2 linked regions of the Caenorhabditis elegans genome follow. The protein of the gene in region 2 purifies or fractionates together with the protein of the main gene of each other region. This does not show direct contact. Each region holds a gene or a part of one and is shown on either strand. Other genes may lie near its edges. The genes, in order: T14B4.3 and F37A4.5.

Evidence for each region.
Region 1: the proteins of F37A4.5 (region 2) and T14B4.3 fractionate together in Caenorhabditis elegans (co-fractionation; one large-scale study listed by BioGRID). This does not show direct contact.

Annotation. Positions count from the first base shown.
Region 1 is NC_003280.10:6,732,945-6,736,776, reverse strand, and holds T14B4.3 (VWFA domain-containing protein), read right to left. Parts: upstream 1,841-3,832; 5' UTR 1,828-1,840; coding exon 1,791-1,827; intron 1,750-1,790; coding exon 1,618-1,749; intron 1,571-1,617; coding exon 948-1,570; intron 901-947; coding exon 802-900; 3' UTR 667-801; downstream 1-666. Other genes in the region: mrps-18.C (28S ribosomal protein S18c, mitochondrial), read right to left, coding at 56-166, 214-306, 358-573; T14B4.9 (Core-2/I-Branching enzyme), read left to right, coding at 2,994-3,179, 3,238-3,547, 3,595-3,701, 3,748-3,832.
Region 2 is NC_003281.10:6,709,671-6,713,737, reverse strand, and holds F37A4.5 (Mov34/MPN/PAD-1 family protein), read right to left. Parts: upstream 1,870-4,067; 5' UTR 1,795-1,869; coding exon 1,712-1,794; intron 1,666-1,711; coding exon 1,423-1,665; intron 1,309-1,422; coding exon 750-1,308; intron 705-749; coding exon 630-704; 3' UTR 547-629; downstream 1-546. Other genes in the region: Ankyrin repeat-containing protein F37A4.4, read right to left, coding at 1-33; Chromatin-remodeling complex ATPase chain isw-1, read left to right, coding at 3,738-3,806, 3,902-4,040.

The sequences.
Region 1 (3,832 bases), on a different chromosome or scaffold from region 2:
TATATTCTAAAAATAAAAACAAACAGTAATAGTAATTTTAAAAAAACAAAATATTTTAAGCAAACGAATGTGGTCGAATTGGTTTGAGCGGGTCGAACAATTTCGGGTCTCTGGTGTACTTTGGATCCTTTACGAAGATTGGCATGAACCCGGCACGACGCGATTTCTGAATAAAGAATATCGTTTATCTAACTCTATTCCAGTTCATCATACCGCGATTGCTTCAATCAGCTTCTTCTTGTTCTCGTCGCAAAGTCCAGTGATGTGACGATCGTATACACGCCCAGAGAATGTGGAAACAAATTGCTGAAAAAAAGAATTGGATTTTACCGAGCTCCAGTTTAAAACATTTCGTACCTGCAAAAGTCTCGAATTTTTGTAATCGAGTTCAACACCAGTTGAGCACAAGAGGCACTTCCGTGGCTCTTTTGTGTATGGATTATTCTCCAAAATTACGGGCTCATCGTCAGAGCTAACCGAAGGAGATCCCTGCGTGGTTGAACTGGAGCTACATAACCTGAATGTCTGCGGCCTTATGAAACTTCGCACCAACGATGACGCCGATTTTAGCATTCTGAATTGATACTGTTGGATTGCATTGATAAATTTAAAAATGAGATATCTTAAGGTTTAGAACCTGATACACTGATAGTGTTTCAAATGCATAAAGCTGAAGTCTTTATGACATGGCAACAAATACCGGAAAGCGATTAGTCAAAAATGCAAAAAAAAGAACCGTAAAGCCGTAAAGCGAAATAAATTATGAAAATACAGTTTTTACAATCATTTATAAATCTAATTCTAATCTTTCTTCTGTCTACCCATCGATAGTCGAACCAGGATCGTTTTCTTGGCCATATCACTTTCATCAAACATCAACCACAACATCGCAACTGCCGCCTGAAGTTAATTTTTTATTAGAAAGAATGAATTAACATGGGACTTACGAAGACAAGGGAGAATCCCACAAACATCATAATGGCCGCACTTGCCGGATAATCGATATATCTAGCTTGAGTCACTTGCAATACTTTTTGTAACAGCTTAATTCTAGCCTTCTCATCTCTATCAGGCTTCTCGTGAGTATAGATTTCAGCCACCACATTCCCGCCATAACTGTTCTTGATAGCATCTTGTAATGTATCAATACCTCGCTTGATATTTTCTGCCAATTGTTTTCTTTCCATATCTGTTCGCGCATTGGAGACGTCAAGGTGAACACGGTAGTAGTCAACAACATTGGCATTTTTTCGATCTTTCTCCATGATTGCATCCGAAAGTCGATACATATTTTGAAGATCCTCCTTATAAGTATCGTAATTAGCATGGTTTCCCTCAGTATTTCTTTTAAACAACGATGATCCAAATATTCCAGAGGAGTTTACTTCGGCGTGAATCATATCATCACCAAACTGTTGTTTGAAATGTTCTTGAATTTGATTTGGCTGGAATTTATCCGTAAAATTGAAAGCATGTCCGTCATAATCAAAGTTTTCCAGTCCGTCAATAACGATTATCAACAACGCCTTCGGTTTTTGGAACAATTTTTCATCGCCGATCGCCTGATGAGCTGAAATAAGGCAATAAAACATTTTATATTAATAAAATGTTACCTACCTCCAACTGCAGCACCAAGTCCAAAAGCATTCTTGTTGAAATTTAATAATGAAACTGAATCGAAAGACGAATTTCTCGAATCAAGTATGTGGTCGTTTGGCAAAATGATTTGAAGACGCCCGGCAAGGCAAACTGAAATTGAAGTTTTTTGCAAAAAATAAATAAGAAATTACCTTGTAAAAATGATAAAATCCATATAAAACTTCGCATTTTTGGCTTGAAAAGAAGCAAAAATGAGAAATAAAAAACTCACAATTTTTCTGTAACAATGGAGCGCGTTTGCTTTTCTCGTTGAGACACCACAAACCAAGAGAACTTGAAACTCCGTGGAAGTTGATTTCATCAGCATTGGTTACTGTATTTTTTTGCCAAAACTTTTATTGATAAAGTTTTCATCTATGTATACAAAAATATTAAAGGCAGATATTTATTGGGTTTTGAAGAAAACTGTCAAATTTTTTGGTTCCGCGCGCAGAAATGATAATGAAATTGAATTTTGAAGTATATTTTTGCTTAAAAAATTAATACATATCTTTTTTTAATTTTATTCACTGATTGTGATAAAAATAACTTGTAGCAATGAATATTTTCCTTCAAAACGAACATGCAATAAATTTCCTTCACTTGCTTGTTGATAAAAAGGGTGGGTCAATCCAATATGATAGGGTTATCTTCTCAGTTTGTTCCGGTACAAATTGTTATCCAATCAAACTATATTGTCTGTTGAACCTATTGCACAATTGATGCGGCTATTGAAAAGGTGACTTTTTGAAAAAAATTGAATTAAACGGAGGGAAGTAAAATCTTAGATAAATATAAGGATGAATACCTTTTAGTTTCCTTATTAAGAATTACCAGTTTTATAGTTCAAGGCTATTCGATTTACTGGTAACTACCAATTTGATAGATAGATAAAAGATGAGAAGATTCAAAACTATTTCCTCGATTCTAAATATTACAAATAGATTTATGAAAAATGTAACTTTAAACAAGGAATAATGCCTTCACAAATAGGAAAATGAGAGCAATTTTTTATTTTTTCCAGAATTCAAAAACGGTAATTGTTTAGTTTGTTTTCTGCAATGCGAAGGTATCCATTTAAACAAATTACCATCTGTAAATATGACTGTACTTTTCTCGATCAAACAACAAAAAAAAACAATTTTAACAAACAAAAATAAATATTTGAATACTAATTTATAACCCTCAAGAACCCTCAACTTTTGAAGATCAAAAAAAGAAAGTGTGAGACCCAAGTGGATGTAAATGTTTTGAAATGAATGAAATGTTTGGATTCTTTCCAATGTCTGCTCTGGTTCTTCATTCTTTCTCTTTTCATTTCCATCTGTCATCCATTCTTTTCCGTTTTCTCCAAAATGTGCTCCAAATACTCCAGGACCTTCTTCTTCTTATTACTCACAATGCTTGTTTGTACAATTGTGATCTTTTCAATGGCACCTAGAATAACAATGAGTTTTTGGACTTCAAAGGAAACTAATATATTATGGAGACGCAAAGAGACAGCTCATTTGGATTGTGGAAGAATTTTGGCAAATGATAGAGTTAGTAATTTTAAATATTTAAATGTTTAAAAAATAACCCAAAAACATAAAATTTCAGTCTTATATCGAAAAGTTTATTGGTGAGCATCGAATACCCCTGAGCTCAAATTTGGAGAGTTTAGATATGTCATGTTATTCAATTCAAAATCGAATTATTCCATTCAATTTTCATTTGAGGCCGTTGAAAATTGGTGTTGTATTTGCACGAGTTGTCTATAAAGACTATGAATTTTTGGAGAAACAAGTACAAATGTCATATCATCCACAGAATATATTTTGCTTTTTCATTGATTCAAAAAGCAAAGATGATTTTAAATGGAGAATTAGGAGACTTGGTAGATGTCTTCCAAATGTATTTGTAATAGATGGTATACTGATTGAATATATGTATAATTTAAATTAACTAGAGTTTCAGAAGAACTTCGAATAGATTCAGCGGGTCATAATATGAATTTAGCACACTACAAATGCATGGAGAAGATGGTAAAATTACCGGATTGGGATTATTTTATACTGATGCAAGTGGGGAAAACTTTTATTAATAATTGTAAAAATGCAATGTTTTTAGAATCATGACGTCGTTGGAAAATCAGTTTATGAAATATCTAGAATATTTGAGATTCTTGATGGTGCCAACGATATTGATATTGACA
Region 2 (4,067 bases):
AAAAGTTGAAAATATAGCGTGACAAAGCTTCATGCGAATCTCTTATTTATTTCCTTCCTAGTACACGTCTCACTTTGAATACCGACACTGAAGCACATTTTGCCAAATCATGCTGAAACTGGTTTGGTATAACTTACGGATCTCCTCGGATGCTTTCTGTGAAGCTGTTGAAAATCTGAATTGATTGTGAAGTCTAAATGTAGCAAAAACAAGAGAACAAGGTTAGTAGGTTATTGGAACACGTAAATGGTAACCTCGGAAGGAAGTTCTATATTTTTCACGGGTTTTATGTTTTGTTTTTGATAAGAACTTTATCTATGAAAGTGCCCATTCTTTGCAGTAGGCACAAAAATTCCTGACTTCCGTCAAGGCTACGTATGCCTACCTGCCTACCACACAAACAGGTTCTTCAAATGTGTAATTGCACTGCCAACAAACTATACAATTAATATCTGTACTGGGCGAACATGGAACACCGAAATTCAGCTGAATCGAGAAAATAGGTAGTAAGTAGGCAGATGAGGAGGGCAGTCAGATAAGATCTGTACAATGATTCTATTTATTGATTTGAATGTGATATGGAAATGGGAAGAACGTCATTCAGAAACACAATTTAAATTGTTGCTAGTTCATGTCATTGATTTTGCGTTGATCATTGCAGTAAGCTGATGGCAGAGGGAATCGTTGAGAAGGCTAGAAGTGATCTGAAATTAAAACATTTTTTCACTGTACGTTTATTCGATTTTTACCATTTGCAATTGCTGTTTTGCATTGATTTTTCCAAACTTTTTGACTTCTTCTTGAGTCTTTCCTTTCTTATCTGCAATTGGTTTCTCCTTAACTTCGTCAATATCCTTATTGAAGACTGCAATCAGTTTGTTGATGCTCTTGAACTTCTCCTCCTGCTTCTTCTCAAGCTCCGAGTAAGTTGACATATTCAATTGATCATACCAACTCTTCTTATTCAAACACATCAACATCTTCTGCTCATTCGACCCCATGCGATAGGCGACATTCAACGAATAGTACTTGGTGCCAAGACCATGAACAACAGAGATTAGCGATGGCTTAGTGAGATGTCCAAGATTGGAAGTAGTCTGTCGTGGTTCAGCAGTTGGAGCGAGAGGACGAATTTGCAAGTTGAGTGGGTTTACAGATCGGAATGCGTCCAGCATAACTTTCCCCTTCACACTCTGAATCGGATCAACGACAACTGCAACAGCACGGGGATGGAGAGCTTCGAAAGACTGTTGAGTGTTTACGTCCACAGAAGATAGCCAGCATCCGAATCCTGGATGCGAATGGTACCTGAAAGTTGTTATATAATTTCAATAGAGGCTTTGATTATAAAAACTGAAAACTATATCTGCTGCGTCGTAGATTCTAAAAGATTGCCTATATTCTTGGGTCCCCTTTACTCACCATCCAACAACATTTTCAGTTCTTCCAACCAATTTCAGCAAGTCCATATGCTTTGTCTGATACACAGGATCCACCGATTCCACGGTCACACTGGTTCCACTCTGCGGCATTGCAAAAACGTCCGTAACATTGATAGTGTAGTCGTCCACAAAGTCTCCGAGCATCAGACCCATCACCTCCAACGGGATTCCAGAACGAGCATGGCGCAGCATTTTCAGCAAAGCCAACGAGGAAATGTTCACTCTGAAATTTCAACAAATTCTGGAATCCATAAAAAATTTAAACTTACGTTTCAGAAGTGTCCGGATGATCAAGTTTATCAGTTGCCTGCTTGTTCTGATTCATCAACAACGAACGGATAAGACGATCCATTTTTTTCAGAAATTTCTATTCTATTGAGCACGAACAAAAAAATCGAAAGCAACATGCGAAGCAGAATATGTTAATAAAAGAGTTTCGGAAGAAGTCTCGGCGTTGCCACGTGGATGACGTGGGTCGGAAGAGTGTGTGGCAAAGGTCACGCGAGAACTATTTTCCGCGTGAAATGTTTTTTGTTGTGTTTTTGAGAAGCATGAAATTCTTACACAGGAGAATTTTCAGTTAATTTATTTTACAAAAAAACAAAGCAAGTAACAATTATTAAAAAAAATAAACAAATCAACATCGTTCCAAGATCCCAACGTCTCCAATCCACTTCCCGTCATCTAGCTTAACAAGAAGACTAGTCTTAAGACTTACACAGTCTACTCCAGTGACCACATGCTTTCCAACGAATGTGAGTACATTCACTGACATGATAATCAAAGTATTATAGGTCATAACAATAAGAGAAAAGTTCAAAAGTTCTAGAAGAATTAATGTAATTTCTCTCAACTTTTGTTGGTTTGGATTTTCAAATACTTTCATAGGAAAGAAGAAAATGAATATGACGAGAAACGTGTAGAACGCAGTAATTAGAGTTGATTTCGAGAAGGCCAATGAATTAGAAAAACGCCTATCTGTTGAAACTGAGAGTTGGAGGTTATGATGAGGCTGGAGAATTCCCAAAGCTGTAGTGTAGGAGAGTATTGATAATGGATACAAGGTACAAAGCAGGTAGATCTGAAAATAATTATTGATAGTAGGTCACAAGCTTCCAAATTCTCTCTCGTTTGAAAATGAATGGCCGTAAAAAGCGTCGAAGACGGCCATGTGTAGATTTTAAGAACTTTAGGCAAAACCCTTCTGAAAAGTGCATGAAACTATAATAGGGTACTTTGATTTTTGGCTTACCGCACTATAATTAAGAAATAAATTATGATTTTAATTCAAAACTCAAAAAGAATTCTCAAAAGTAGTGAAAATGAGGAGTTTAGACCACAAATTCTCAACAAAAAGTATAACTTCTCCTCGAGGAGTACACAGCCTGCGTAAATCGACATATAGCCTTGTTGAAGGTTCAAACGCTTTCTAGGGATGTATATCAAACAAAACAATTATTCTGACTCACAGATTTATAAAAAGTTGTGCTCACCACCACAAAAATAATTACTAAATTTACAATTACTGCTCCCACGTGACTTGCGATAAACTTCCATGGTTTTTGTCTAATTTTTGTCAATCCAAAATGAACAAGGCAGTGTGGAATGTAAAAAGGAACAAAATGAAGTAGAAAGTATATCGGAATTAGATATGTTGGAACAATTTTCTTTAATTCAAAAATGTCATAGGATAAAAATGCGGTGAGCAATGCTTATTATTATCTGTTATTATTATCTGTTATGCTCACTGAGCATAACAGATAATAAGGCGCAAAATAGTGGAAGCCGATGGAAACATCGTTGACGAAGTGTGGCAGCCATTTTTGAATTTGTAAATATTGTTCTTCTGCGAATTAAGTGAGGGGCTGACATTTATCGATTGACTTTCTGATTTATCGATTTACAATTCAAAGCATCCTTCTTTTTCTCATAGATTTGAAATACGGGGTCAGCATAAAGAAACAGCTTGTTTTTGTACAACTTTTTATTCTCGAATAAAACTTTTCAATGAGTTCTTTAAACTGATTACTGTAGAAATCCGGCAAGCATCTATTTTTAAAATTCGCGCGCATTTATTAGTTTTCTGTGTATTTGCGCGTCGCCGTGTCTGCGTATCCACTGAGAACCGCGAAAATGCTGTTCAATTTCTGGTTGCCTCATTTTCGCGCGCTGGTTACCTTTTTCACACGTTTTTGTTAGAATTATCGGTTTGTTCGATTATAAATGTTTTCTTTATCAAACCTGTAAACGCCCGAGGTAATTTGTACAGTTGTTAATTGGTGATTGTCACAGAAAATGTCGGTTCACGAGTCTTCGAACGAAATAAATGACGAGCCTATGGACACCGATTCCAACATCCCGGAGGTAAATAATTTTTTGATGTACATAGGTTTTGCGTTTTATTAAAGATATTTTTTACATTCTTCACATAAAACAATACATTACATTCTACGTTTCAGTCTTCCGGGAACGATCCCTCAATGGAAGTGGACGATGAACCGGAATCGTCCGACGCCGCCGATTCCTTCAAGAGATTTGAAAGATTGTTACAAAAAACGGAAAACTTCTCACATTGTTTATCATCTGGAGATGCGAAATGTATTGGTCCATGTTTAAGCCGCAAAA